Linked DNA regions of Diceros bicornis minor. The protein of the gene in region 1 interacts with the protein of each later gene in a biochemical or structural test. Links are inferred from orthologs where the notes say so. Each region holds a gene or a part of one and is shown on either strand. Other genes may lie near its edges.

Evidence for each region.
Region 2: of the proteins of CHEK2 (region 1) and PPM1D, one has a biochemical effect on the other in vitro, tested with the Homo sapiens proteins (2 studies listed by BioGRID, with this or other methods). The link is inferred for Diceros bicornis minor from reciprocal best matches to the Homo sapiens genes CHEK2 and PPM1D.
Region 3: of the proteins of CHEK2 (region 1) and CDC25C, one has a biochemical effect on the other in vitro, tested with the Homo sapiens proteins (14 studies listed by BioGRID). The link is inferred for Diceros bicornis minor from reciprocal best matches to the Homo sapiens genes CHEK2 and CDC25C.
Region 4: of the proteins of CHEK2 (region 1) and CDC25A, one has a biochemical effect on the other in vitro, tested with the Homo sapiens proteins (5 studies listed by BioGRID, with this or other methods). The link is inferred for Diceros bicornis minor from reciprocal best matches to the Homo sapiens genes CHEK2 and CDC25A.

What each region holds. Positions count from the first base shown.
Region 1 is NC_080774.1:22,521,187-22,528,461, reverse strand, and holds the start of CHEK2 (serine/threonine-protein kinase Chk2), read left to right. Parts: upstream 1-4,260; 5' UTR 4,261-4,347; intron 4,348-4,371; exon of another isoform or gene 4,372-4,704; 5' UTR 4,705-4,771; intron 4,772-5,209; 5' UTR 5,210-6,347; coding exon 6,348-6,672; intron 6,673-7,275. Other genes in the region: iron-sulfur cluster co-chaperone protein HscB, read right to left, coding at 1,361-1,505, 2,129-2,218, 2,568-2,664, 3,781-4,016. UniProt on the Homo sapiens protein: Serine/threonine-protein kinase which is required for checkpoint-mediated cell cycle arrest, activation of DNA repair and apoptosis in response to the presence of DNA double-strand breaks.
Region 2 is NC_080757.1:26,535,835-26,543,715, forward strand, and holds the start of PPM1D (protein phosphatase 1D), read left to right. Parts: upstream 1-4,862; 5' UTR 4,863-5,032; coding exon 5,033-5,489; intron 5,490-7,881. UniProt on the Homo sapiens protein: Involved in the negative regulation of p53 expression. Required for the relief of p53-dependent checkpoint mediated cell cycle arrest.
Region 3 is NC_080740.1:56,902,896-56,910,726, reverse strand, and holds the start of CDC25C (M-phase inducer phosphatase 3), read left to right. Parts: upstream 1-4,812; 5' UTR 4,813-5,025; intron 5,026-5,038; exon of another isoform or gene 5,039-5,245; intron 5,246-5,450; 5' UTR 5,451-5,466; coding exon 5,467-5,660; intron 5,661-6,389; coding exon 6,390-6,484; intron 6,485-7,181; coding exon 7,182-7,227; intron 7,228-7,831. UniProt on the Homo sapiens protein: Functions as a dosage-dependent inducer in mitotic control. Tyrosine protein phosphatase required for progression of the cell cycle. When phosphorylated, highly effective in activating G2 cells into prophase.
Region 4 is NC_080741.1:49,428,020-49,435,146, forward strand, and holds the start of CDC25A (M-phase inducer phosphatase 1), read right to left. Parts: upstream 3,018-7,127; 5' UTR 2,571-3,017; coding exon 2,401-2,570; intron 1,389-2,400; coding exon 1,315-1,388; intron 1-1,314. UniProt on the Homo sapiens protein: Tyrosine protein phosphatase which functions as a dosage-dependent inducer of mitotic progression. Directly dephosphorylates CDK1 and stimulates its kinase activity. Also dephosphorylates CDK2 in complex with cyclin-E, in vitro.

The DNA.
Region 1 (7,275 bases):
ATCAGATTTGGGTTTCAAAAAGATCACACAAGTGACAGTGTAGGAATATATTAGATTGAAGGTCCAGATAAACCAGTCTGGAGTTACTGCAGGTGTCCAGATGAGAGAGAATGGTAGCAAGGAACAGGTGATGGCAGTGAAAATGGATGGATGGATTTGAGACACATTTAGAAGGTCAGCTTTTCAAGACTTGGTGATGCACTGTCTATGGGGGTAAGGGAGAATAAGTTGTCAAAGATGCCTACTCACTGTTTTGGACTTGTGCAGCTGGATAGTGTCACTCACTCAGAAGCGAACATCAGAAGAGGCATAGATTATTTTTTTGAGGAGGGAGGGGAAATGTTCATGAATTCCATTTTGGACACACTGAGTTGGAATATATAAACTCCACAAAGGCATGGACCATGTCTTTCTTGTTCACTGCTTTATCCTTAGTGCCTGATCCATGGTAGCCCTGCTATAAATATTTGTGAAAGTGCATATGTACTTTCCGTGAAAGTGCGTACTATTGGAGTGAGAACCCTGAGGACTTTTCTCCATGGCACAGTTAATTTCATGCGTCAACATTTAGGCTATGGTGCCCAGCTGTTTGGTCAAACACTAGTCTAGATGTTGCTGTGAAGGTACTTTGTAGATGTGATTAACATTTACAATCAATTGATTTTAAATAAGGAGATCATCTTTGATCATGTGGGTGGGCCTCACCCAAGCAGTTGAAGGCATTAAGAGCAAAAACTGTTTCCTGGAGAAGGACTTCTGCCTCAAGACTAACATAGAAATCTTGCCTGAGTTTCTAGCCTGCTGGTCTGCCCTACATATTCTGGACTTGCTAGCCCTCATAATCATGTAAGCCAATTCCTTAAAATAAATTACTTTTTCTTTCTTTCTCCATCTCTCTCTCTCTCTATATATACCTACATACATATACACTATTGGTTCTGTTTCTCCGGAGAACCATGACTGAAACACTATGGAAAAAAGTGGAAAGCAAAGCAATCTGGGATCAGAAGACCAAGGTTTCAATCTTTGCTCTGTAATGTGACCTTGGGCATTTCCATGAACTTCTGAAGCCTATTTTTCTTGTCAGAGACAATGATGTTATCCAAATGTCATGGGTAGGAAGGAGGATTGCAATCTGCAAAACACTACTATATTCTTGGTTTAAGGCAGACTTCCAGAGACTTAGAGATGTTGCAAGTCTAACTTCCAGACAAAATTGGTTTCAGTATAACCAAGAACAAAATTACTCTCTGAATCATTATGATGACCAATATGTACTCTTTATATTCATTTTTCACTTAACTCCAGACATGTACTCATAATGGCAATAAAATGAATTTGGTGGTATTTTATCTTTTACCTCTGACAACAGATTCAATCTCTTTCATGGCAGCTTCACTTTGAGCTTCTGTGAGTTTCTCATTCATTTCCATTATTTCCATGAGGAAATGCCTGTCCATTTCATAATCTGTCCCTTCAGGAATCTGTACTCCATGGAGCTTTAGCTATTGGAGCACAAAGCAGGGAAAACATAAGTCATATATATATGTAAGGTATAAATATAACTTATTTGTATTTATTATAAATAATAAGGTTCAAGAAACTATGGTCAGAGTCATAAATCCTACTCACCCTTCAGAACAGAATACCATTCACAGGGAAAACTTGAACTGTCCTAATAATGAAAGCGAGGGTAGGGTGCTGGAAACTTGGGCTGAGACAGGAGTGCTAGGATGGGATCCCTCTCTGCTACCTGGAACTGTGTGACCCTAGGGGAGTCACTCCTCCATTTGGGAGGCTGAAATAGATATTTGCAAAGATTCTATTAAATCCTAAAATTCTAAGGTGCTCACCTCCCCCCAAAAATACTCCCAAATTACTCTTCCCTAAAAGCTATCACCATTCAAGCCTTGAAATTTATAGAAAATAGTTTTAAAAAATGCAATTGGCTAAGTAAGATTTACAGAGAATGCTCAGAGAAAACTATATTTGTATAACGTCTTTGAGGCTAAATATCTTTGGTCCCTGGACTAGCTTAGGTCTCAAGCACTCCTCTGCTGAACAGAGAGGAGCAGCGGTCCCACAGCATAATGGACACCAGGCAGTCACACATGGGAAATCACCTTACAAGGTATAGTCCCCTGCTCAGGGGTGCCAGAAGGGTCTTATAGGCATCATTCACCAGGGTTGAATGCTTCTCTGAGAAGTCCTTTTCAGTCTGTTAGTGGAGATAAAGAAAGTCTTATTACCAACCAAATCAGCCATTTTACATTCACAAACTGTTTCATAAAATACCGAGGTGCAGGCACCTAAGAAGTGGTCAGAGTAGAACTGGGGTGGGATGAGCTGTCTTTATTTTCAGCTGATGGGTTCTAATTCTGCTGGAAAGTTGGGTAAAAGCTGTGAGTGCAGGGCAGGTCCAGGGCCTGGCCGGCCTGGGTCAGCGTGTCCCAGGGTGGACCGGGTTGTCCAGCTCTGTCTCTGATTATCACATAACCACAAGGCCACTGCCACCCACCCGGTGTGCACATGTGTTTTGGTATCATTAGGAGTGGCCAATAGGCTACCTGAGACCTCTGGCTGAAGAAATCTGGGTGGACAAGACGCTGCAGTTGCTGGTACCTTTGCTGGAGCTTCGCAGTGTCAACTCTGAAGGAGCGGTTGCTGGAAGGAAATTGGGAGAAGAAATTTATGCATCAAATATTTATAGATTTGTATACTATGGCCCTGGTTCCTGTTCTCATGGGGAAGAGGCAATAAAATGTAGACAGAGATAATTTCAAAAAGTGGTAGGTGCTGAGGGAAAAGAGAATAGAGTCAGAGAGAGTGGTAGATGTGGTTGACAAAGAGATGACATTTGAGCTGAGACCCGAATGATGAGGAGTAATCAAAGACCAGAGCAAAGAGTCATGCATGCAGAGGGACCATGCAAAGGTGGGAACAAGTTTGGTACCTTGAAGAACTTAAAGGGTAGTGTTATTGCAGCCCATCATAAGTGCTCAGTGACTGGCGGGAGCAGATCCCAGAGCTAAAGGGAAGGGGCATTCCCGAATCCCACCCTATCTTTCCAAAGCCCAGGTCTCTTCATCTCTGTCTCCCACTTATATTTTAATCCAATCCCTTTCACTTTCTATTCCCAGAGCCTGCCCTCTCTGCCCACCTTTACCACCTCTCCAAGCTCCTCAACCTTCAGAAGAAAATGGGAAATAACCACTCCTTTCTCAGACCCTCTCCCTCCAATTCTCACTTTTCCCTTAGACTCCGCCTACAATGTTAGGTTTTCTGTGCTTTTACTCCCTTATTTTGGATAACACCTCAGTACCGCTTTCTTAAAAGTCTCAACCCAATTTTAATCATTCTGACCCTATCCCTCAAATCTCCCGTCTCCCGTCCCTTAGGCCCCGCCCCCAACTCATCTTTCCCTCAGGCCCCGCCTCCCAACTTCTCTTTCTCTCAGGTCCCGCCCCTCGAGTCTCCCTCCACTGAAGCTTCCATCCTTCAATTTCCCCTAACTTCATTCCCCGCCCCTCCAGTCCTGCCTCCACTCTTGTGTCTATCCCGCAAAGTTCCTTCCCTCAGGCCCGCCCCTCAATTTCCTCTCAGGACACATCCCATCCTCCATTTTCCCAGACCCCACCCCCAGCCCCTGCTCTCTAGGGCTCCGCCCACCTATCTAACCCATTCCTCCTCCCTGACGAGGCTGAGCAGCCCTCCCCTCTCGCACGCCAGCCCCCGACATCCCTCTCGCCCTGGCGCGTTTCCCGAAACCGCCTCCCGTACCAGTCCATGAGGCTGAAGTAGTCTCGAGTGGGGTCAGGTGGCTGCAGCGCGCGGCACTGCGGACAGAAGAACCCGTCCCCCCGCATGGAGCCCCCTGGGCCGCCGCAGTTCCAACACCTGGGGGAGTTGCTTCCCGCCAGCGATGCAGCATTGCAGCCCAGCGGTCTCCTTCCGAGAACCCCTGCTGGCCACAACCCCCACACCCGGAGCAAGGCCCCTGCCCTCCCGCCCCACATCTGGCTCGCGGCCTATCTCGCCGCGTTCACCCGTGGGGGGAAAAGGGGAAAGAGCGGCCGACTAGACTAATGATGTTGATTGGCTGGGGAGCTGAGGGGGCGGGATCACCCAGGGGAAAACTGGATTCTGAGTCCCGCTCTGCGTTTTAAACTACAACTCCCAGCAAGCCTTTAGGCTCCGCGCGGACGGTCACATCCGCTGCTCCTCATTGGTCCGGCGGCGGCGGAGGGGTGTTTTGATTGGCTGAGGGTGGAGTTCGTATCTGCTCGTTTAGCGCCACTCGGGTGGCTGCGGCTGCTGCGAGTGTGCGACTCCAGGTGGGCTCACGCGGTGAGTCATAGTGGGGAACTTCTCTTGGGTGTTTGGGGATTCGAATCCCGTCCTCAGGGTCTTAATGCGAGCTGAATTTCCCGAGCTTCCGCTTTGTTCGGTTTTTGAGGTCGGGCGGTGGGGAGAGGAATGCGTGGCGACTCTCTTCCTTCTTTGTAGATCAACCTCGAGGTGAAGTTCACTTCCCCTGTTACTTGCAAGCTGAAACTGGCCCGAACATACAGGATAATAAGGAATAAAGTTGTGCTCTTCAAAATCAGAGCGAAGTTGCTTTGTAAAGAGTTCTATAAATGTTAGTAATTCTTACCATACTTTAGGATCAATCTCGAAAATAACCTATTAAGAACCCACTCTTAGCTGCTAGGCGCTGCAGGAACTGGAAACACACTGAGGATGTAGGAGGATGCCCTGCGAATGTCCATGAGTAAGTGTGTGGATGGGGTGGCGGGGAACGGGTAGGAGAGCACCAATCCTCCTTGGGACTGAGTTTCTCTATTTGAAAAAAAAAATTGTGTTGCACTTGTAAGGGCTTTTCCGGCTGTCGGATTCTTTGGGACTGGAATTCTCTTCTCTCAATTATCAAGCGTTACTGGGGAAGGAGCTTTCATGCATCATCTCAGTTAATCCTCCAGATCTATCTACTTTTTTCAGATAAGGAAATGGGCACAGAAAGGTTGTGATCTACCTAAAGGTCATGCAAAGATTTGACTCAGGCATCTGACTCCAGACTTGTTTGCCTCTAACCACTCCATTATACATTCTCCTCATGGCTGAGGCCAGCGTGGTCCCGGTCCCGTGGACCCTTATTTATCATAAGCGATGATAGCAGCTACCATTTGACACACTGTCTACCGGTTTTCAGGGCGGAGAAATCTTGCTCGAAAAGCTGCAGAAGGACACAGCCGGCTTAGGTAGTAGAGCAGCAGGTCCCGGAGTGGCAGACTCAGCTCTGGCATCACCTTGCTGGTGTGCTTTAAGGAAAATTCATCAGGACCTTTGTATCTGCAAAGCTGTGTAAATGCAATCAGTGTGAGTAATGTTTACTATGTTCTCCTTGAGTAGTGTGAGTGTGGGGATCTGGAGGAAATGCACCTTTTTTTCCTTACATCAGATTAGGGATTTAAAGTTAGGGATTGAAGGTGACTTGACTCTAAATTCTGTTATCAGAGTTGAACTGTCCATCAAATGAATTCTAAAGCAAGGGTGGGAACCTACCTGTGTTACAGTCTCCTGTGACTCAAAGAATAGTTTCTGCAGGATTCTGTCATGCTGTGAGGCCAGTTAGGATGTTGATAAGTTGAGCCCCGTAATTACTTAGCATCACAAAGGGCTAGGTGGAGTTGTTTAGAGCAGTCTTCTTTGTATTCTGCCTCCTTAAGTGGCTCCGCTCTTAGGTAGGAGTCAAGGAATCTACAATGAACAACGGGACAGGAGTCCTACCCTCCAGGAACTGGCTTGGGGGAGAAGGGGCATCAGTGACATTTTATGTAAATGGCCACCCCTAGAGTGTCACAGGGAGTTAGAGTACAGTTTCTTGTTGCCCATCTTCTACCCCAGGCCACCTGACCCATCCCCTTCTTTCCCTTTCCAAAACATATAGGAAATTTAAGTGTAGTGTTGATTGTATTAATGACTGTTTTAAATTTCATTTCTAATTTTTTAAAATTGGGTGAATGTAAGCTGTTACAAGTCTCTCCCTCTCCCCAACTCAGTTTCATTGCTTTTTAGTTATCTATAGCCTTCAAATAATTTTTTGTTTCTTTTCCCTGTGGTTTGTGGCTGTCAGACAAAAAACTGATCCGGTGAAAGTGATGTGATGAATAACTCAGTCCAGAAGAACTATAGGTCTAGACTGTTAGAATTTTAAATTTTGCAGAGCATGCTTGCTCTGGATTTTTTTTTTTTTTTTGCCATTGTAGTATGCCCATCCTTCACTCTTGAACTTTAAGTCTTGTTCCTTGAAACTCACCTTATTGTTGGACACTTTCCTTGAGGTCGTGATGTCTCAGAAGAAGGATGTGGAGCATCAGCAGTCCCAGGGCAGTGGTGCCTGCTCACAGTCCCAAGGCAGCTTCTCGCAGCCCCCTGGGCTCTCCTCACAGACACAAGGCTCCTCTTCACAGTCCCAGGGCACGTCCAGCTCCTCCACCAGCACAGCGCCCACGTCCAGCCAGTCCTCGCACTCCAGCTCGGGGACAGTGAGCTCCTTAGACACAGTGTCCACTCAGGAACTCTATTCTATTCCCGAGGACCAAGAACCCGAGGAGCCTGTCCCTGCCCCTTGGGCTCGATTATGGGCCCTTCAGGATGGATTCTCCAATCTTGGTAAGACCCTTTGTTGTATAGTGTAATATTTTGTTCAGAAAAACAGTTAATGGAAAGTTGTTGCAACAGAAAGCTCAAGATGCTCCTGGAGTTCAAAGGTGATGAAAGGTGAAACCAGGGACGCAGTTTTGGGTAGCGCGTTGGCTCTTAGCTGCTGTGGATCCCCTTCATTTTTTCTTTTAACAAATATTAATTGGGGATCTGCAATGTGCTGTCCATCTGAGCATCTGAAGAGAGCTGTGGACCGTGTCCCTAGAAAAATGCAGATTCACTCAAATTTGCACATATTTACCATTTAATCACAAAAACTTCACCACTGAACCCCTGCTGTGGTATGCTGCAGCTTCAGAGCATCAGTTTTACACTTTCAGAATAGAGAAGGCTGTTTGATCACCACCTATTATTTGTTTTTATCTCCAAATAGGCAACCCTGCAGCTAAATACATTCATCCTCTCTGACACCTGGTTCCAGTAGTAAGGCATTGCTCTCAGCATGTTTTTTTTGTGTATGTGTGTGAGGAAGATCAGCCCTGAGCTAACATCCATGCCACCCAATCCTCTTTTTTTTTTTTTTCCTGAGGAAGACTGGCCCTAGGCTAACAT
Region 2 (7,881 bases), on another chromosome or scaffold:
TTAGATTCTTATTTTGCTTCTAAAATTAATTCTTCCAGTATATGTTTGAAGATTTTAAAGTCAATAATTAAAAGCAAGATATGAGGGCCGGCCCCGTGGCTTAGCGGTTAAGTGCGCCCGCTCCGCTGCTGGCAGCCCAGGTTTGGATCCCTGGTGCGCACCGACGCACTGCTTCTCCGGCCATGCTGAGGCCGCGTCCCACATACAGCAACTAGAAGGATGTACATCTATGACATACAACTATCTACTTTGGGGCTTTGGGGGAAAAACAAATAAATAAATAAAATTATAAAAAAAAAAAAAAAAGCAAGATATGACTCCCAAACCAATCAGTGGATAAGAATAGTTACCCCTGACATAGATCCAAGGGTATATTAAAAACTTACTATCAGGGCCGGCCCCATGGCTTATCGGTTAAGTGCGTGCACTTAACAGCACTGGTTAAGTGCTGGCGGCCCGGGTTCGGATCTCGGGCGGGCACCAACACACTGCTTGCCAGGCCATGCTGTGGCGGCATCCCATATAAAGTGGAGGAAGATAGGCACGGATGTTAGCTCAGGGCCAGTCTTCCTCAGCAAAAAGAGGAGGATTGGCATGGATGTTAGCTCAGGGCTGAGCTTCCTTACAAAAACAAAAACAAAAACAAAAACTTACTATCTAATGGAGTATCACTAACCAATAAAATAATGAATCATTTCGCAAAAGACATTGGGAAACACATTATTTGGAAGATTCAAATTCACTTCATGCTAAAATAATTCCAGATGAACTTGAATGTAAAAACACATTTTAACTGTAAAAATATTAGAAGAAAACATGATATTTTAGTCCTATTTAACTGATCTCAGTTAAATAGAAGTGAAAGGAACATTCTGAGCATAAAACTACTGGAAATATTAAGAAAGTTCAAGAGGTTTTAATTAATTAATTTATTTATATATTTTTCCCCCAAAGCCCCAGTAGATAGCTATATGTCATAGTTGCACATCCTTCTAGTTGCTGTATGTGGGATGCTGCCTCAGCATGGCTGGAGAAGCAGTGCGTCGGTACGCATCCGGGATCCGAACCCCAGGCCGCCAGTAGTGGAGCACACGCACTTAACAGCTAAGCCACTGGGCTGGCCCCAAATATTATTTTCAATGTGCTGGGAAGTCACAAAGTATATTGAGTAGAGAAATGACTTGATCTGATTTATGGTTTTGAAAGATCGCGATAGCAGCTAGTGAAAAAAGGATTGCAGAGGGTCAAGAGTGAAAGAAAGGAGACTTATGTAGTGGTCCAAGTACAGAGACGTAATAGGGGCTTGGACTGGGATGGTAGTGGTGGAGGTAGTGAGAAGTAGTGGGTTCAGTACTGATTTTGAAGATTTAGTCAAAAGCATTTGCTGATGAATTAAAAGGATTGGAAATTGGTGGGGCTAGGGAGGGGAAGGAGAGTGGAGGAAAGAGAGGGATAAAAAACTCCTATTTTTTTTGGCTTAAACAGCATGCTGGATGATGATGCTTACTGATGTGGGTAAGACTGAGGGAGGAGGAGATACGAAGAAGAAATCAAGAGTTTGTTTTGGCCATGTTAAGATGAAATGCTCATTAGATATCTATGTGGAACTGTCAAGTGTGCAGTTGCATATCGAGTCTGAGATTCAGGGTAAGTTCAGGACTGGAGATATAAATTTGGGAGCCATCAGCAGACAGTTTTTAGAGCTACAGTCCTGGATGATGTTACCTACAGTATATAGGTAGAGAAGAGAGCCCATGACAAAGCCTTGGGTACTCCCAACAATCTAAAGTCTAGCAGGGGATGAAATCCAGCCATTTGTGACAACATGGATGGACATTGAGGGTATTATGCTAAGCGAAATAAGTCAGAGGGAGAAAGTCAAATACTTTATGATCTCACTCATAAGTAGAAGATAAAAACAACAAACATACACATAGAGACAGAGATTGGATTGGTGGTTACCAGAGGGGAAGAGTGGAGGGAGGAGGGCGAAAGTGATGATTAGGCACTAGGCACATGTGTGTGGTGATGGATTGCATTAGTCTTTGGGTGGTGAACATGATGTAATCTATGCAGAAGTAGAAGTATAATGATGTACAGCTGAAATTTATACAATGTTATAAACCAATGTTACCGCAATAAAAAAATTTTAAATTTATTTCTTAAAGAAACATTACATCATCATATAGGTGGAAAACCAGGATTATTTGCCATAAATAAAAGGTAACTGGGAAAAAAAAAAGTCTAGCAGGGGAGAAATCAGCAAAGGAAAATGAGAAGGGGTGGTCAGTCAATGAGGTAGGAAGAAAACCAGGATAGAGTGGTCTCTTATAAACCAAGAAAAGACAGTTTCAAGAAGGAAGCAACGGTTTGACCTGCTACTAAGTTTCAAGAAGGAAACAATTGTTCCGCTTGCTGCTTCAGTTGGAACAGAAGTCAATCAACACAGAAAGGTCATCATTAGCTTTGGAAACAGAGAGGTCTGATTATGTCATAAAAACAGTCTTAGTGGAATAATGGGGATTGCTTAACTGGAATGGGTTTGGGAGAAATTAATGAGGTAGGAATCAGAAGTAGAATCTGGACAGAAACAACTCTTTCAAAAATTTTTCCTGTTAAGGGGAGCAGAGAAATGTGGTAATATAAGGGGTCCAGGTCTTTTTTTGTTAAAATAGAAACCAGAACATGTTTGTACACAAATGGAAATGACCCAGCAGAAAAGGAGAAATTGATAAGGTAGGAGCAAGTAAGGATAATTGGTGGAGCAAAGCTCTCAAGCAGAGAAGAAAGGATCTAGAACACAAATGGAGAGATTGCCTTTAATAGTAGCAAGGCCACTTCACCATGAAGAGGAAGACGAGAAACGGAGAAGGCAAAATGCTGGACGGAAAATGTGGATGATATTTTGAAAAAGAAAGTGGCTGAGAAGTGACAAGAAAAGTGGAAGATAGGCAGACAGTGAGCCAAAAACAGATGAAAGGGGAGTTACAGGGATCAGTAGGTGACAGCACCTTGGTGTAGTGGCAGTTGGCATTAACTATAAAAGAGCTTGGGTTTTTACAGGATAAAGGAAGGGAAATGATTCGAAGACAACATGAAGAGCAGATTCAAAGATGAGAATATCTGTGAGAGGGAAAATAACCTCCTTACTTGAAAAGTTGCAAAGGGGGTAGTTTTGTCAGGTGATAAACCAGTTTTCAGTTGGAACAGGAAGTTGATGGGAAGATTTAGAGAACAGGTGAAGAATAAAGGGGAAACGGCTGATAACAGATGTTAAAATCTAAAGTGTGGAGTGAAATGGTTAGGATGGTTGGTTAGGATTGTAAAGCATGATGGAATTATCTTTTCATAATCTCTAAGTGGAGGGAGGGATGGTGGGTAAACTGTGTAAGATGAATTGGAGCTACATAAACTGTTCTCGCTTGCAAGTCTGGTGGTGTGGAGGCTACTGGATTAGAATTGCTAATATTTCACTTAGGATTTTTGCATTTACAGTCATGAAATATGGTCTATAGATTTCCTTCTAGTAGTATAATTGTAGGTTTTGATAACAGGATTATGATCCTCTTTGAAAACACCCTGGGATTTTTTCCAAGTATTTTTACACTCTGGAACCATCTGGTCTACTGCATTTTAGTGTAGGGGATATCTATGATTACACTTTTTAATTTAATTGATCTATTCAGATCTACATTTTGAGCTGATTTTGCTTATTTATATTTTTATTCATATAAGGATTTTTTTTTCTATTTGTATTTCTTGTGTCAATTGTTTGTATGAACATTTTCCCATTCCCATTTCTGTACTAGTATCATTCCATTTGAAAATCTCGAAGGCTGTCTAGGAAAGGGCACACAGGAGAGTTGATGGTGAAGTGGCCAGAAACTCAAAAAGTGAACTTTAAACCGGTTCACTGAAGAACACTTGCTGCTGAGAAGATGCTAACCTGCCACTCTGAGGCTTATTTTAACTCCGTGGAACTCCGTGCAAAGGTTTTAGCGCTTAGATCGTAACCTACCGGGCGAAGAGGGGGGACGATAACCCGATTGTTAGACCACTGGAGAGCTTGGCAGTTTTTGTAAGTTATTTTCCAGTGATAACTCGAAGTACTGCCACCAAAGATGTACGATGCTGTACCCAGGGCTCGTCGGAAAAAGTGCCACGTTTAACAGAAGCTGAACAGATCTGTTAAGAGTTAGTTAAAATATTTTGAGTCTCCGACATATCTGGTTATGTGAAACGACCCTGCGTAGCTGATGGAAATTCCCCAAGTTTTCTTAACACCACAAACTGGATCCCCTCCCTTAACTCCCAGTCGGATACATCCCACCCGAATCCAGTTCAAGAGCGCCACGCTTTTTCCAGCCTGTTCACAAACGACCTTCCGAAAGGAGGTTTCCCGCCATTTCACTTCAAGGAAAGGAAGGTCTTTCCCCCCCGATTCTCCACACTCGTGGGAGGCCCGAAGCTACACAGCTTTCCCCGCAAGGCGACCGGCGGGACGTCAAGGGCAGCAGGCTGCATTACGATCCCGGGGATTGAGCAAAAAGGTGACACCAGGTCGCTCGACAAAGGCTCAGCATCTACCGAAAACACCCACTGCGAAGGGAAAGCGAACACGCCTGAGCGCGGGCGCAGAGCCCGCTCTGAGGGATGAGAGCGCGGCCGTTGTAGGAGGAGCGAGGGTTGGTTTGGAGGGCGGTTCGCTCCAACTCCGCTCCGGATTGGCCAGACCCAGAGAGCCGAGTGACGACAGCGGGGGAGAACGTCTGATTTGTGTGGTGGGCGCGGGCAGGCGGGGGAAGCGTATTGCGCAGGCGCAGCTGCTCGGCTCCTCTCGCCCTAGCGCTCCGGCCCAGCTCTCGCGGACAAGTCCCGACATCGCGCGCCCCCCCCCCCCTCCGGGACCGCCCCCTCCCCGCTCTCGGCGTCGTCGAAGGTAAACAATAGTTGGCCGGCAAGCGCCGAGGCTGTCTCCCGCCGCCGGATTCGGCGGGCTGCGTGGGACCGGCGGGACCCCGGCCAGCCGGCCATGGCGGGGCTGTACTCGCTGGGAGTGAGCGTCTTCTCCGACCAGGGCGGGAGGAAGTACATGGAGGACGTTACTCAAATCGTGGTGGAGCCCGAGCCGACAGCCGAAGAAAAGCCGTCGCCGCCGCGGTCGCCTCCGCAGCCGTCACCACCGGCTCTTCCTGGCAGCGAAGTCCCGGGGAAAGGCCCAGCGAGGGCAGCTCGAGAAGCTCGCGACCCTCCGCCGGACGCTGGGGCCTCGCCGGGTCCCGGCCGCTGCTGCCGCCGCCGCTCCTCTGTGGCATTTTTCGCCGTGTGCGACGGGCACGGTGGGCGGGAGGCGGCACAGTTTGCCCGGGAGCACTTATGGGGTTTCATCAAGAAGCAGAAGGGGTTCACCTCGTCGGAGCCGGCGAAGGTTTGCGCTGCCATCCGCAAAGGCTTCCTCGCCTGTCACCTCGCCATGTGGAAGAAACTGGGTGAGTTTCCCGGGTAGTTGGGCGCCCGCCTCTTTTTCGGGTGGTTGGGGGCTTTGATAGCGCCGGCACCGCGTGAGCCCCCGGCGCGGAGAGCGCTATCAAAGTGGTCGTTGATGGCATTGAAGACTTCTCGGTGTGATAGCGCCTTCCCGAGTGGAGGTCGGGCAAACAAAGTGGCCCTGGGAAAGATAGGATTGCAGTCCCCCTCCAACCGCTCCTCGCTTTATTTCCACCCTCTAAGGATCAATGGGAAGAAGTCTTGTCCATTCGTCGCTTCCCTTTGGTGGCAGCCGGCGAAAATGTCTTTGAAACCTGGCGCCAGATTTGGGTCAAAAGATGAATTGAAGATACGTTGCTACTTGGGCCGCGCAAAGGAAGCGGGAGATGGCAAAAATTAAAGTGTTTCCTTACTGTCAATTTTGCTCTTGAAGGGCTTGTCCCTATCGGTTGCCTCCTACCGGTGATGTCAGTGCTCCACATTGACCCCAGGTGACTGGTAGTTGGAGTAAAGTTGAAGCAAGCTAGTTTAGAAGGGCTAAAATGTAATCATCCAAGACTTAAAGCCTTGGAAGGAATTCGGTCGTGGGGATCATAAAATGTTTTTAGGATCTTAGTGCTTGTACTGCTTACGGAAAACAAATGCGCGGAGTGCGTTACCTCTTAAACTAGCCCCACGTTAGGGTTATGTGTTAAATTCTGTTAGGGTTTTTTAAAACCCCCCCTTTTTGGGTATTTGCCTTAGCTAATTGCTGTCGGATAGTTCTCAACAGTTCCTAATTAAAAGTACTTATGAGTTGTAACTGCCTGTCAGAGTGGCAAGAGATAAGGAATTACTGATATGCTAAAAGAGAATAGAGACTTTAATTTGTAAACATTCAGTGTAGTTGTAGTTTCATCTGAACTTTAAATGTTTTTTAAAGCAGCCAGTGTTTCTGTACCAACATATGTTATCATACAGGATTATAGTTGCTTATCCAGTGCTGTGAATGAATGGCATGAATCTTTTTTAGAGAAGATACTTCTGTCATTAAAAAAATCCTCTTGTTTATGGTAGCATAATGTTGCTTTATTTCCAGCAAAGGGGCAGAGACATAGAGAAAAGAATGTAAACATTGGTCAAACACAGAACATTTTTAAAAAATATATTGTCATAGAGTTATAGACTAGCATCTTTCAAAGTCTGTTTTCTATTTACTTGGCTTTCTGCCAAGAAGTATTTGCTTGACTCATAGAACAACCAGTCTGCCTGTGGGAGGCGTTTCCCCTCCAATCCCAGAGGTCCCTATTATGGATTTGTTTTGTTTTTGTGTAGGCAGAGCAGAACTGAGAGCACTGCAGTATATTCCAGAAATATGTCATTTCATTGCCTGCAGGGCAGCTAGGAGTGGACAGCAAGACAACAAAATAGAGAAAGATAAGACGCAAAGAACTGTTTAGAGTCCTGTTTATTTTGCAGTATACTTGGAGCAATGTGTATTTGGTGTATGTTTGAATTAAGAGGATAAAGTATAAACCCTGTTACTTGAGCATTTTTTAATAAAGCAGGGGTCATCTATTAAATGTGAATATGTATGTTGTTTTACACATACGTACTTGTTGAATCAAACTTGCCCTCCTCTGAGGCGTGGCTTAGAGCCTTACACACCAAATGTTAAAAGTTTGCTTTGTTCCACAGCTAAACTTCGTACTCCATCCTCAAAACTTGATTTAAAAAAGTATGCTGAGTATATGGAAGTCTTGACACAGGAGATGCAAGTTTTTTAAAAAATTGTACTTCAGACCCAAATTCACTGATGGCTTCTCAATTTCTATAAAATAAACTTCAACCCTGCAGTTTATCTACATGCCAAGCCCTTCCCAGTCCAACTTCAGACTCCCTATTCAATTTTATCTGTTTACCCACATTTCTATCACATTAGTCTACTCACCTTTTTCCAGGGCATATTGAAATATTCCATTTTCTTGAATTCCCCTCCACCCCTCAAAAAGAGAAAACTGAAAAATATTCTCCTCAGTCTCCAAGTCAGTATACTTTCCTCTGTGAAGACTTCTGTTTCTTTTGGAGTTAAGCATCCTTTGTTTCTACTTTTGTAGTCCTCGTTGGGTTATAGCAGTGGTTGTCAAACTTTTTGCTTTCAGAACCCTTTGTATTCTTAGATAATTGAGGACCCCAAAGAGCTTTTGTTTATGTGGGCTACATCTATCAATATTTGCTATATGAGAAATTAAAAAAAGTTTATTAATCTATTAAAAATAAACTTATTTGTTAATATATTTTTAAATGAAAAATCACTTTTTTCCAGACTAAATAATGAAATAAGAAATATTCTCATATCTACTTTTGCATCAGTCTGTTGTGCTATGTTGTTTGGTTGAAGTGTATAGAGAAAAG
Region 3 (7,831 bases), on another chromosome or scaffold:
GATGGAAAAAGGAGAGGTTTTAAACAATGCCTTCGTGTTGTGATCTCTTTGTAGGGCAGAGTTTTAGATTTCTTTTTTAATCGTTTGGAAAGTAGCAGTAATGCAAGTAATCTTCACTATTACACTTAGCAACAAGTCCCCTGAAAGACATCTGTTTTCCCTAAATATTTTGTTCCCCTTTCAAGTCTGGTACAGATAAGTAACTGATCAGCTAGAAAGTAGAGCCAGTGGTGGGAATCTTCCTCACAGAGCCAGGAGCCACCAAGTCTGCAAACTGAAAAAGAAGAGTAGAGGGAAAGTGAGGTAGTTATGAAGAAAATGGGGATGGAGGGAAGATGCACTGCACATTTCTTTGCCCTGCACATTGCCCTTTAGCAAAAGAAGGAGGGGGGGGGGGGCATGAAGTACAGGAGACATGGCTTCCAATAACTGCTGTTGTGGAGCATTTATGTGCCAGGCACCGTGCTACATACTTTAAATATATATGCTCATTTTTGCTTAGAATCATCAAATGAGACAAAATCTCCTTATTTGACAGATGAAATAGCTGGAGAGGTTAAGTGACTGCCCATGTGGTGGACAAAGGTAGTATTAAAAAGCAGTCTGAGGCTCTGAAAGACAAACACCGTATGATCTCACTCATATGTGGAATATAAACCAACACATGGACAGAGAAAACTGTATTGTGGTTACCAGGGGCAATGGGAGTAGGGGGTGGGCACAAGGGGTGAAGGGAGACATGTATATGGTGATCAACAAACAAAAATATACAACCAAAATTTCACAGGTATAAACTATTAAGACATCAATAAAATAAATTAAAAAAAAAACAGCAGTCAGGCTCTAAAGCTGTTGGTCTTCACTGCAAGGTGATCCCCCTTTTTATTATTAACCATGCCTACTAAAGTTAAATGATTGAGTATAAGAAGTTAGCATTGGCTTATTTGCAAAACATTGAAAGAAACTGAGACACTTAACCAAACCTGCAAGTCAGGTTTCAGGCCTCATTTCAAAGGAAGATTACACCCCTTTCACCAAGTATAAAATAGCCCCCAGTGCAGCCCAACCTCCTCCCCATTACTAACTATAATTAAATCTCCTTATGCCACTTTTAGTTCTCAAGGCTTTTCTTACTCATGTCCTAGCTATTTGTTCCTGCTGCCCCATTTTCCTTCTTTTGTTCTTGGGCTACTACCTTCCCCCCCCCCCCCCCGCAAAGCCCCAGTAGATAGTTGTATGTCATAGCTGCACATCCTTCTAGTTGCTGTATGTGGGACGCAGCCTCAGCATGGCCAGAGAAGTGGTGTGTCAGTGCACGCCCGGGATCCGAACCCGGGCCGCCAGCAGCGGAGCGCACGCACTTAACCGCTAAGCCGTGGGGCCGGCCCTTGGGCTACTACCTTGAACCACATCTTAATTGTGTCCTCATGGGCCAGACCCCGCTCTGATGCTGCTCCAATGGGTTTCAGCAGAGGACACTACCTGGGCTCCCTTCTGGTCTCCATCAAGATTCTCTGAGGGTTCCAGAGTCTGAAGCCAGTCATCCAGGAGGTCATCCAAAGGAGTGAAATCCATTTAAGAGACTCTCCATTCCCTGCCTAGGAAGGCAGCAGAGTCAGAGGAACACACACCTCCTTCAGACTCCCTTTTCAACCAGTGAAAGCTAAACGTCTGCAAAGTGGGGAGAGGTAGGGCTCAGTCCACCACTCACAGAAGGAACCAGGAATAATGCACACACCCCTCAGCCTCCCTCCCTGCAGAGGCTGGCTAGGGGGGTCCCAGGAATGTAGGGCTCTTCTCCACTGCCTGATCTGGGCATCCCAAGAGCAACAGCTGTACCTCCTGTTCTTGTTTGGCATTTGAGGGTGAAGTCCTGGCTGTCACTGTGCTCTGGCAATGACAAATATGTGTTAGACTGAGGTCAAGGTGAAGGGGCACAACACACTGCTTCATCACAATGAATCAGGAGACTCGTTAGGGAATTCCTTGAGAATGAGGTAGGATCAATGCCATCAATCCAACAGAAAAACCAAATCTTCAGATCATATTAAACACCAAACTTCCTAATTCCCTAATATTCTTTCTTCTGGGAAGGATAAATTAGATATTCCAACTCCCTCAGAAGTCAAGATAGATATATAAGACAGTATTTGATATCCCTTTAAAATGCATTCTACCTTTTCATATATTTAGTTTGAAGGTATGCATGTAAACTTACATGTAATTAGGCAAATATGTTGCAGTTAGCCAAGTCAGCTGGCGGCGTGAGATAAAAATGGTTAGAAGGAAAAAACTTCATTAGCAAACATGGATAAAGCTTTAAAAAGTCTTAAGGGCCAAGTATATGGCTTCTTCTATTTGAAAAAATCTTGGAAACTTATTTTGGGGGCTAAATTGCAGGAGAATTAGTTTTATTATTTTTTTGTGAGGAAGATCAGCCCTAAGCTAGCATCCATGCTAATCCTCCTCTTTTTGCTAAGGAAGACCAGCTCTGAGCTAACATCTATTGCCAATCCTCCTCCTTTTTTTCCCCATAGCCCCAGTAGATAGTTGTATGTCATAGTTGCACATCCTTCTAGTTGCTGTATGTGGCACGTGGCCTCAGCATGGCCGGAGAAGCGGTGCGTCGGTGCGCGCCCGGGACCCGAACCTGGGCTGCCAGTAGTGGAGCGTGTACACTTAACCGCTAAGCCACACGGCCGGCCCAGCAGGATAATTCGTATTAGTAATGCTGCAACTTTGTGAGAGCACTCAGATTCTAGTATCTTTCCATCACCTGACATTGAACCAAAGCTGCTTGGTTGATGCTCTTGTTGTGACCACTCACAACTGCACTCACTTGAGGACCTGCTGCAGAAAGCACTGGTAACCAGGTGTCCACTTGCCATAATCTATCTGCTTTTGCCGCCGTTGTAGGACGATTTCATCTGTCTCTACCTCCCACCTGCAAGGAAGTATACAGTGACCCCATGGAGTGTGATTATAATCATCAAAACAGAAGCCAACTCATCCCACACTCCCTTAATCCCCAGCCTGATTTTCGAACTCACCTGGCATGGCAGGGATCTGTGCTGATTCCCACATTCACCATCTCTATCCCAGAGGACAAAGATTCTTCACACCCCTTCTTTCTCAGGAAGCAAATTCCACAGATGAAAAGGGTAAAACCCAGCTGACTACACTGCACCTCTCAGCCACTACCACCACCAAGATCCTGACACCAAATAAAGGTTGTATTTCTGATTTTCTGTTTCTCAAAGATAAAGGTTGCACTTCTAATTTGTTTCTTAAAATTTGATCTGCAAGCCATCTGCATGAGTAGCCCCTGGGGGCCTTGATAATTCCTAGGCCCCACTCTAGACCCGTTGAATCATAATTTTGAGGGTCTGCATTTTAAAGAGCTTCCAAGGTTATTTTAAACATTTTTTATTACAGAAAATTTCAAATATACAGAGAAGTAAAGAGAATAGTATAATGCCTTGCTACTCAAAGTATGGTCCCAGGACCAGCTGCATCAGCAGCAGCTGGGAGCTTGTTAGAAGCGTAAAATCTTGGGCAGCAACCCAGACCTACTGAATCAGAACCTGCATTTTAACAAGATCCCCAAGGGATTAGTATGGACATTAAACTTTGAGAGCACTGATATAATGGACCCCTCAGTTACCCATCACTCAATATTCATGGCCAATTTTGTTTCATCTATCCCCACCACCACTTCCATGGGATCATTTAAAAGCAAATCTCCGGGGCTGGCTTGGTTGCGCAGCGGTTAAGTGCGTGCGCTCTTCTTCGGTGGCCCAAAGTTTCGCAGGTTCGGATCCTGGGCGCGCACCGACTCACCGCTTGTCCAGCCATGCTATGGCGGCATCCCAGATAAAGTAGAGGAAGATGGGCATGGATGTGTAGCCCAGGACCAATCTTCCTCAGCAAAAAGAGGAGGATTGGCATTGGATGTTAGCTCAGGGCTGATCTTCCTCTCACACACACAAAAATAAAATAAAAGCAAATCTTGAAGATTAAGAATAAATTCTTAATATCACCTAGTCAATGTTCAAATTTCCATAAACAACCAAAGTTTAGGATCCTTTGGACTGTGATAAGGATTATGCTGAGATGATTCAACTCTCCTACTTTCCCTGAAGAATGAATTTCCTTTGCCCCACGTAACCTAGCATCTCAGAGATGCTGCACGCTAAAAGGGACACTGAACAAGGAAAGCTCTTGGAAGGGGCCAATGCCGCTCAGCATACGTACACACACCTGTATCGCCTCAACGTCTGCCACACCAGGGGCAAATGCTGCCTCTCCAGCGGAAGGCTAGCAAAATTAAGAGGGAAAGGTCCACTTAACGACAAGAGAAAGCAGCAAGGAAAAAGAAATGTTTAACACCTTCCCACCGAAATCAATTATCTCCAGGTGTTATCCTAACGAGTGGTCGTCGGGGGCGAGGTGCAATTTAAATCTCCCGGGGTTGGAGGGGCTGAGGGAAGGGAGAGCTCAGGAAGGGCGTGGCGATTGGCCAGAGGGAGAGCCAATGGTGCGCCAGGGCTCCTTGAGGGGCGGAGCTTACCTAGCCGCCTGCCGAACGCTGGTGGACCAATCGGCATCCTGCTCTGGCTGAGGGGCGGGGCAAATCTTGGTCCCCGACAGAGCAAATTCACGCCCCGGGTGATGTATGAGACAAACGATTGGCCGGGGTAGGGGCGGGGGGCGCGGGTCGGGGCGGGCGCGCGGAGATTGGCTGACGCAGCTTAGAGGCGAGCGGGATAGGTTATTCCGAGGGTAGAAGGTTTGAATGGTTAAGGCTTGTAGCTGTTGATATTCTCGCACCGAAGCTGTAATTTCGGCTCTGCGGAGAGAAGCGGCAAAGCGTGACCTTGGCCTATCCAGTCGAGAAGCAGAATTGTAGTCTAGTTAATTGCCGCCTTTCCCCAGATTTCCTTTAATTTTGCTCGAGTCTTCGCTTGTGTCTGATCTCCACCCACGCCCTTTCTCCTGGAGGTGAGTCTCAGACTCAAACCCGAGGTAAGCCCGGAGCCATCTCCGCCACGGAATCACCGAGACCCCATGGTCCCCTCAGGGTCCAGTCCCGGCCCCGCAAACGGAAGTTCGGGAGACCTAATAGGCATTGTCGCGAGTCAGGAGACGTGAATTCCTTCTGGTCAGGAGTCACGAGCTGTGTGGCCCGGAACAAGTCGAAGACCCTCTTTTTATTCCCTCTTTAGGGTCCTGAGGTTGCCTTTCGGTAAGTTCAGGTTCCAACGGAAAGGCCAAGCCTCTTTGGGCAAGTGGGATTTAACCATCAAGCCAAGTTATGATTCACCGTTTGGGGATGCCCCTCCTCCATTACTGATCCGCTTGGCTGCTGCTGGGAAGGGTGGTGGAGGTTGTGAAAGCTGGCCAGTATAGACGACGTTCGCCTCTTAGCTAGGTTTTATTTTTTTTCTCAGGGAGAGCTCGGAGACCATGTCTGCAGAACTCTTCTCATTCACAAGAGAGGCAGGAAGCCCTGGCTCAGGACCTAGTTTTAGGTCCAGTCAGAGGAAGATATTAAATCTGCTCCTGGAGAGAGACACTTCCTTTACCGTCTGTCCAGATCTCCCTAGGACTCCAGTGGACAAACTCTTTGGTGATTCTGCAAACCTAAGCATTTTGTCTGGGTAAAGCTTTTCTTTTCATGCCTTATCTCCTTTGCTTTTCTAAACAATTTTTAGATTTTGGTTTTGTTTTTTAATTATGCAGGCTCAAAGATGAGGGTTTAAGTCTCAGCTTTGCCCTTGACTAACTGTGTGACCCTTTTGAATCTCTTTTCTGTGACATAGAAATAATAATACCATCCTATCTTAGGAGAATCTTGTGAGAATCAAACGATGTGATGTCTGGGAAAAGTCTTTGAAAACTCTTGCATTATATGAATTGGTCACTTTAGTAGTATTAATATTAGTGTTACTGTTATTGTACTTTAAATTTTGGTTATGCCATGCCCTGACGCCTCTGCTAGCAGAGTTGGAGAGTTAATGGACCTGAGAAGTACTTAGCGACCCCAGGGAGAAGTCAAACCTATGTACTCTCCGTGCACAGGGCAGAAGAGGTGGGGTCAAGACTTACCTTGGCCAGTGAACTTTGGTCCTTAATTTAAAAAATTATCCTGTCTCAGTATGTTGGTGAGGAGAAAATGAAGTACAGATTATTGGAGTAGAGAAAAGGTGGGAGATTTTTCTCAGCCTGGTCTGAGATATTTCCAAAAATCAATTAGATTTATTTGGACACTGTTTGGATTATGTGATAGTCATCGAGAGACATTTCAAAAGAAGAGGATAACATGATCTTTGTCTTTTAAGGATATTACGACCTAATGGGAATCTTGATGTACTATTATGTCTCAACAGAGAAACTCCAAAACGTTGCCTTGATCTTTCGAATCTTAGCAGTGGGGAGATGTCTGCCATTCAGCTTACCACTTCTGCAGACTGTGATGAAACTGGTAGGGAGAAGGGCGGTAAAGGCTTCAAGGGAGAGAATAACTTTTAAGGGAGAGGACAGGATAGAAGAATAGAGATGGAAGGTGATAAAAGTAGGTAGCGAGACTTGAAGTTGGAATTCTTTGGGTACCTAGAGGATTTTTGAGGAGAATGATTAAGCCAACGGGAAGAGAAAGATAACACTAATAGGAGCCACTTTGCATTTGAAAAAGTTAGGAAGGCATATTTTGTTGACTGATTGATTGTGAGAATGAAAGTAGTAGTTAAGATGAAAGGTTTTATGCCCTAGTCTAATGTCCTCAGAGACAAAGAAACCAACATAAAGAAAAACTTTGTCAACTAATTCTTATCGGTTTTTATAAAGTCTGTGCCTAAAAAGAATATGTTTTACTAGTCAACCATTTTAGTATTTGTTCTAATTTCAGATTTACTGAGTGATAAGCTTTCTTTTCTACTCATGAAAAAAATCTCTGTAGGTTAACATAGTGCACTGCTTCCCGGCATTTCTTCTTTCAGTGACACATGTAAATTCTTAAATTTCCTTGAACGTGTACCTTGTACTATGAAATTGGTACCTAACAAGATACTTTGTGTTGTAACGGTCAGCTTTTGAAAATAATATGGCTTACTGATAATGAAGAAAATCAGAAGGAAAGACAAGATGCTTGGACAAAAATAACTCTTCATATCTGTTTGCAGGTCACTTGAAATCTTCAGGACCTCAGGAAATACAATTAGCTGGGATGTAAGTTCTTTTGCTAAATGAACCCCATGCTGAACACTGGCACAGGGATTTTATCCTATGCAGACTCTGCAGAGTATAGAATGTGTCCCTTTGGTTATAAGTGGGCCTGGAGGCCTAGATCCTTCCCTTGAAAGGTTTTTAAGTTTCCTAGATCTAAATAGTGTTGCGAAGATGAAAGCTACTCATTTTAACCATCACACACAATCAGTATTATCTTTAAAAATGGAGGAAAATGGTATACTGCATTTAGGCATATGCTGTTATCTGCATGTGAGTAGTGCTATATCTTAGTGGTTAAAGGTGCAGAGTGTAGGCTCTGGAATCAGAGTGTCTGGATTCCAGTGGCTTATTACTTTACCAGCTGTGGCTCTGACAAGTTTCTTAACTTCATTGGACCTCAGTTTCTTTATTCATAATAAAGAAGTAATAATAAAGAGATAATAGCACTTCTCATAAACAGCCATTGTAAGGAAATTTAATCCTTAGCACATACCAAGCATTTAATAATGTTTATTATTACTCATGAGGATTCTTTGTTGGAGATCTTAAAATGTTCAGTCAGGGAATACTCAGAGAATGAAAAGGGATTTTAATTCAACTTCTT
Region 4 (7,127 bases), on another chromosome or scaffold:
AATAAATAAAACTACTAGTACTGTTTCTTTAAGCCAGTCAACAGAAACTTATGGCTTGGACTTTTGCCAGAATTGAAGCTGTATCTCTACTTGATTGTCAAAAACTTTATATTTGCCCAAGTCTTAATATTTTCATAGTATATCTACTAATCCCCCTTTCCTTGCAAATACCATCAAGAGTGTGAATTAATTAATTAATTTTTTTCTCCCAAAGCCCCAGTAGACAGTTGTATGTCATAGCTGCACATCCTTCTAGTTGCTGTATGTGGGACGCAGCCTCAGCATGGCTGGAGAAGCAGTGTGTCTGTACGCGCCCAGGATCCGAACCCAGGCCGCCAGCAGCGGAGCGCGCGCACTTAACCACTAAGCCACGGGGCCGGCCCTCAAGAGTGTGAATTAAACCAAACCTTCTCATGATTGCTTGGTTATTCAGCTAGAGGTTACCCAGGTAACTTTCTAAATGTGAGTTCCAACCATGGAAAGAATAGGTACCAGTTTTCTGGAATAGTTTTGATTTCAAGTATTTTATTTTGTCTGATCATATGCACAATGTTGGGGTTTGGAAAATACAATTATGTCATCTGACAAGCAAGGCAAGTATTTATTGACTTCAACAAAATAACACCAAGTGAGGTGACCATCTCACCAAAGGCAGCAGGGTGGAGACACTGCTCAGCGTGGCCCAGACCCACCAGTGCCTGCCTAGCACATACCTTTCCTCCATGATGTCTATATAACCTTACAGGAAGTTAGGTGTTAGCTCCTGACTGGTATTCTCCCTTGCCACACTGCCACAAATGAGAATCCTATCCCTAGTTCTTATGCCTACATTTGAAGACTTGCTCTTGCAGTTTCCTAACCTAAAGCATATGTGCAAATACAGATAAACTCTGCAGTAACATGAATTTATAAATTAGAATAAAATGCACTGGCAAATTTCCTCCACAGCAGGCAGGCTCACTGAAATAATTTCATTATATTTCAGATGCCAACAATTTGACCCTGTATTTTAACCAATGAGATTTTTGGAATGCCACTTACAGTGGTATGGTTAATTTTACCCTACTACGCATCCTCAAGACCAAACACACACCACCTTCTAGCAGACACTTGTTTCTTCTCTTCATAAACTGCCACTGGGACTCCTTTGTACTATTCTTAAGGGTATTAGTCACTCAATGCCATGACTTCTCTGTTTATTGTCTCAACTACTCACCAAACTAAGTTCTTAGGTGAAGGGGCATGTTTCAGCAAATTCCAAGTATTGCTCCCACAAAGCAGACACATGATAAATATCGAAGACCAAAGGAATACCTGAATCGGTTGACTCGGAGGAACCCATTCTCTGCAAACTGCTGTTTTTCACCTCCAGTAGCTGTTCACACTCACTGAAACCAAGAGAAATAATTCTCTCTATATATTTCTAGGACATAATTAAAAGGTTACACACAGGAGACAGGCCATGAGGTTAGCTAGTAGGCAGGCTGCCATCAATCATCATAACTTCCAGGCCACACCACAGAACACTTTGCCACCCAGAACCGCCAGTTAGCACTAGAGCATAAAGGGAGATGAGAAAGGAGTGGGTGGGCATGGCCTGGGTCACATTGTAGGACAGGATGACTATGATGATTGTTGGAGTATTTCCTGAAATGAGAGCATGTGTTCTAGGTACTGTGCTAGGAGCTGGGATGAAAGATGAATAGGACAAATTCCTGCTTTCCAGAGGTTGGAAAACGTATAAGTCACGTGCTTACTTAGAAAATGGGATGTCCAAGATTGAAGGGAAAACAGCTTCACCAGAAACACTGTAGGATGCATTTGTTGCTACAAGGAAAAGTTTAGGGAGCTTTTGAGAACGGAAAGTTGAGTAAAAAGGCCTGGCCTTATTACGGAAACCACCGGGGTGGACATAAGGAATGTGCACGGGGCGAGAGACTGCGACGATTTTGCGCAAACGCCAGGAAAGAAAATGCCACTTCTCTTTGTTGAGAAGGAACAAAGCTCACAGGAAACTACGATCCTGTGAGGTGGTTCAGCAAAGGGTGGAAGTGAGCGCCTAGAAGGGCCTGCTTTTCCCCCGTGGGGCTAGATGTCAAAGAGCTTCCTGGGATAGGGACAGAAGAGTACAGGGCAATCCGAAAGAGGTGGCGAAGGTGGGGAGCCGTGGCCGTTCTCACCCACTACCGGGCCTGGCTTGGGGATTGAGGGCGGTCTTGGAGGATCCGAACGGCCTCTCCCGCCCAACATTCCGCCTATGGGGAGGGTGCACATGGTGAGCCCCCGCCTCATGCGGGCGGCAGGTCTCGCCCCTCTCCTGGCCCATTTCCCGGCCTGATCTCCCCGAGAGCCGTCTGGGAGGCCAGCGGCCTGCGGCACTGCTCGCCGGTCCCTCCTCACCTGCCCAACCCCTGCAGCTGGTCCATGGTGACCGTCAGGTTGGTGACAGGCGACAGGCCCCCGGCGGCTGGCGCGCCGAACAGCGCCTTTGCGACGGGCTGCGGCGCGGGAGGGGGGCTGCAGGCGAAGAGCAGGCGGCGGCGATGCGGGGGCTCCGGGCCCAGTTCCATGGCGGCACCCAGCCTCCCAAGGCTCCCGCTCCCTCTTCCTCCGCCTCCGCCGCGCCCGCCCCGCCCCGCCGGCACTGGCCTCGGCCGCGCGCCCCTTAGCCGGCGCCCGCGGGTCAAACACAAACACGATGTCGCGGTTCAGGGACGCGGCTGCCGCGGGCAAGCGGCGCGGACGGGCGAGTGTCCGGACCAGGTAGGCGCCAGCCACACGCACGGGTGCTCCCCTCTCACCCCGCGAGGCCAGCGGCGGGCGGGCGCCGGCAACCTGAAGATTAAATCCAAACAAACGCGGAGGGTCAGGAAGGGAGAGCGGCCAGAGCCGCGAGTCAACCGCCTGGGCTCACACTCTGCTCGCTTTTCTCTCACCCCCTTGCCCAGCCCGAGGTTGCAGAGAACCAAGCCGACCTTCACCTCCTTCTGGCTGTCGCTGCCAAGGTGGCCTTTCGCGGTAATAGCTGCTCACTGGGGACCGCCACTACCCCGCCCCCTTTCCTAGTTGGCGCCAAACGGAATCCACCAATCAGTAAGTAACTTCTCCTCCTCGCACCCGAATGGCAGCTAGACTGGACCAATGAGAGGGGAAGAAGGAAGCAGCTCGCGGGACTCCGCGAGGTCACCAGCTCTCAGAAAGGGGCGGGGCCTAGAGGAGACCTGAGCTGCTCGGAACGAGAAGGAGCTCAGAGGTCAATGAAAACTCCCGGCAGAACCTGCGAGGCTCCGGCCTGACCGGAAGGCGCCTCTTCACCCGTTGCATGCTGGGAAGCGTAGTTTGCACGTCACGCAGCGGTCAGGTGACCTCCAACCCGCGTTGGGCCGGGGAGTCCCGAGTCCCATAGGCTGAGGGAGTGTGGAAGATGGAGAAGGTTGTGCTAGCCACTGGGGACCCGGCTGGACCCAGCCGTGACTCGACTTATAACCGTGCAGTAGTGTGGACCCCTCTCTTACGCCTTGGGCCTCTCAGCCGCGGTTTTATAACGAGGGAGGGAACTGAATGACCCGAGGACTGGGCTCTGCCTCCCGACAGCAGGGCCCAAGTTCCGGGCGCTAACACTCCTGTCCACCGCTTCTGTCCAGCGGGCCATCAAAGATCCTGCAGGCTGTGGCGACCACAAGCCGCTGACGGCAAGACTTGACCCTACAATCCGGCCTGGGCCGTGGGCCTCAGTAATCTTAGCGCACTTCCATTTTAGCTCCTATTATATTTTCTCAGAATCATTTCCTTCTCTGCCACCCTTTGGTACCCCACTGGTTGCTCCTATTTAGCAGTACCATAAATATAATAATAGCTAACGCTTATATAGTGCTTATGTGCCACTGTTCCAAGTGCTTTATCTGTCTTAATTCATTGAATCCTTACAACAACACTGAGCGGAATTATTCCCGTTTTATAGGTGACTGTATTTATTTTTATATCCCCTGCTCCAGTGGCAGCTCCTAGAATAAATGATTTTAGTAGAGGGGCATTGGTACAGCAATCAGGCTGCAAGAGGACTTGTCTTTAGACAGCATGTTTAGAACAGACACTCTGCTTATTTAGATTGTATATTTCTTTATTTATTTGAGGAAGATTGGCCTTGTGCTAACATCTGTTGCCAGTCTTCCTCTTTTTCTTTTTTCTCGCCAAGGCCCCAGTACGTAGTTGTATATCATAGTTGTAGAGTTGTAGCTCTTCTATGTGGGATTCTGCCTCAGCATGGCTTGATGAGTGGTGAGTAGGTCTGTCCCCAGGATCCAAACCAGTGAACCCCAGGCCGCCGAAGGGGAGTGTGTGAACTTAACCTCTCTACCGCTGGGCTGGCCTCCAAATTGTATATTTATTTTAGGTGTTTGGTAGAGATTATGACTACTACCTCTGCGTAAGACCTACCATTAAACTTATTAAATATTTGTTTGAAAAGCTTTTGTTTTCAAAGGTTTGTATTATGCAAATAATACAAAATAATTATAGCCTTAGGAAATACGGATAAGCGTAATTTTAAAAATCATCTGTAATTCTACCATCTTCAGAGAAACAATTGTCAACATTTTGAACTTTTTGTATGTGTGTGCACTGTAAGTATACAGTCAATAATTGTTTCACGGTCAAATAAAGGAATGGAAAGCCCTCCCTCCTTGCTGGACATTCCCTGAATGGGATCAGCCCAAGTGGATTAACATACTGGAGTATTTCCACCAGCAAGTCCAAGTATTGAAATAAAAACTTGGTGTAAGAAATGTCAGAGAACCATTGTTTTTTTTTCCTTCTTAAAGGTTGACTGAGGGCCGGCCCCGTGGCTTAGCGGTTAAGTGCGCACGCTCCGCTACTGGCGGCCCGGGTTCGGATCCCGGGCGCGCACTGACGCACTGCTTCTCCGGCCGTGCTGAGGCCGCGTCCCACATACAGCAACTAGAAGGATGTGCAGCTATGACATACAACTATCTACTGGGGCTTTGGGGGGAGTTGAAAGGAGGATTGGCAATAGATGTTAGCTCAGAGCCGGTCTTCCTCAGCAAACAAAAAAAAACAAAAAACGAGGATTAGCATGGATGTTAGCTCAGGGCTGATCTTCCTCACACAGACACACAAAAATAAAGGTTGACTGAAGTGTTGAGGGTGATTTTTATGTTTGGGCATCTTCAATTGTGAAATGGAAGCAAAAGGAAAAGCGTAATTTAACCAAACTCTTTTCCTCATTCACTTAGGCATGGTCTCCAAAATCCTGGAGCAGCACTAGGGGAAGGGAAGAGCCCTGCACTGTGAATTGGAAGGTCTGAGTTCTAATCTGGTTCTACTTTGGGGCAAATAAATTTTTGCTCACTCCTTCATTCATTGTCTACTGAGAGCCTACCAGTTTGCTAGGTCCAAACAGATAGGGTCAGTGCTTCCTTGGAGATTTGCCTGGAATGCCCTCCTCACTGCCATACTCACTTCACTCAGCTAACACCCACCTTTCCCAGGTAAGCTTTACCCTCAGACACCCTGGCTGATACATTCCCCTGTTATCATCCACCTTCCAGGCACTGCATGTTTACATTTGTTTCTGTGAGTATTTAATCAGGGTGAGTACCCCCAAATGACTATAAACTTGAAAGGGTAGGGACCTGCCTTTCTTTTCCTTACTATAGTACCACCCACTACCTGGTTCAGGGGACCCCTCAGTACATGTAGACAGAATACATGCTGCAAAGAAAAAGTGTGAATGCTTTAAGAGTGTTTAAGAAGGGAATCTGATCTGGTCTGGTACATCAGGGAATCCCTGAGGAGGTGTCCAGAAGGATAAATCCTTAGAAAGTGGAAGAAAGAGTGTTCTGGGCAGAGGGACAGGCCCTAAGCAAAGGCTCTGAGGCTAGAAGGCGTCCCCTGTGTGTGGCAGAGAACAGTGGAAGAAGAGGAGGTTGGGGAGGGCCCAGACTCTGCAGGGGCTGTAGAAAACATTCTGGAACTTGGACTTTATCTCAAGGGCAATGGGAAACAATTGAAAGGTTTACATTTACATTTTGAAAAGATAACCCTGGCTGCAGAGTGGAGAACTGATTAGAGAGCAGCAATGGTAGAGCTGGGGAGACCAGTTTGGAGGGGATCACAAGGTCCTACCGTGAGATGGTGGTAACTTGAACTAGGGAGGAGATGATGCAGAGGGGGAGAAGTAGGCCTCAGTTTCTACCTGTGAGTGGTGAGAGAGGTGGAATACAACTGTGTCTCTCAAGCAGTGAGGTACCCCAGCAGGGCTCCTGGCTCCTCCCTGCCACTCCTTGGGAGCCACAGAAACTCAGCTTTTAAATTTGCATTATATATCACAGGGCCCTGTAGATTTTATTTGGAGAAAGTATTCCCCTTGTTAAAGACAAAAGTAAATTGGGGCCCGCCCGGTGGTGCAAGCGGTTAAGTGCACGCGCTCCGCTGCAGTGGCCCGGAGTTCGCTGGTTAGGATCCTGGGCGCGCACCGATGCACCGCTTGGCAAGCCATGCTGTGGCGGCCTCCCATATAAAGTGGAGGAAGATGGGCATGGATGTTAGCCCAGGGCCAGTCTTCCTCAGCAAATAAGAAGAGGATTGGCAGATGTTAGTTCAGGGCTGATCTTCCTCACACACACAAAAAAAGTAAAAAACAACAAAAAAAATTTCCCATCAATTTATTAGGCTTATTTTCTGTAGAAAAAGAAACATTCCTTTTCCATTCAATGGTTTACATGTGCCCATTCTCCTTTCACACAACTGTGCTAGTAGTAGGATTGGATTTATTCTGCATGGTTACAGGAAGCAGCATGAGCCTCCTTGGAGGCTACAAGGTTTCAGTTTAACACTAAGAAGGAAAGCCAGAACTACCAGAGCTTTTCAAGATGGAATAAATAGCCCAGGAAGCTATATAACCAGTGTCTTAGGTACTGTCGAGGTAAGGAGGAGTACCTGGAATCAGAGGTTCCCAAATTCTGGTTCTACATTGCAAACATCTGGGGAGCTTTGACTTTTATTTATTTATTTATTTATCGAGTAGGCAGTCCATTTACATGGTACAAATTTAAATAATAACAAAAAAACGCATGGAGGAAATCTTGCTCCTATCTCGGTCCGAAGCT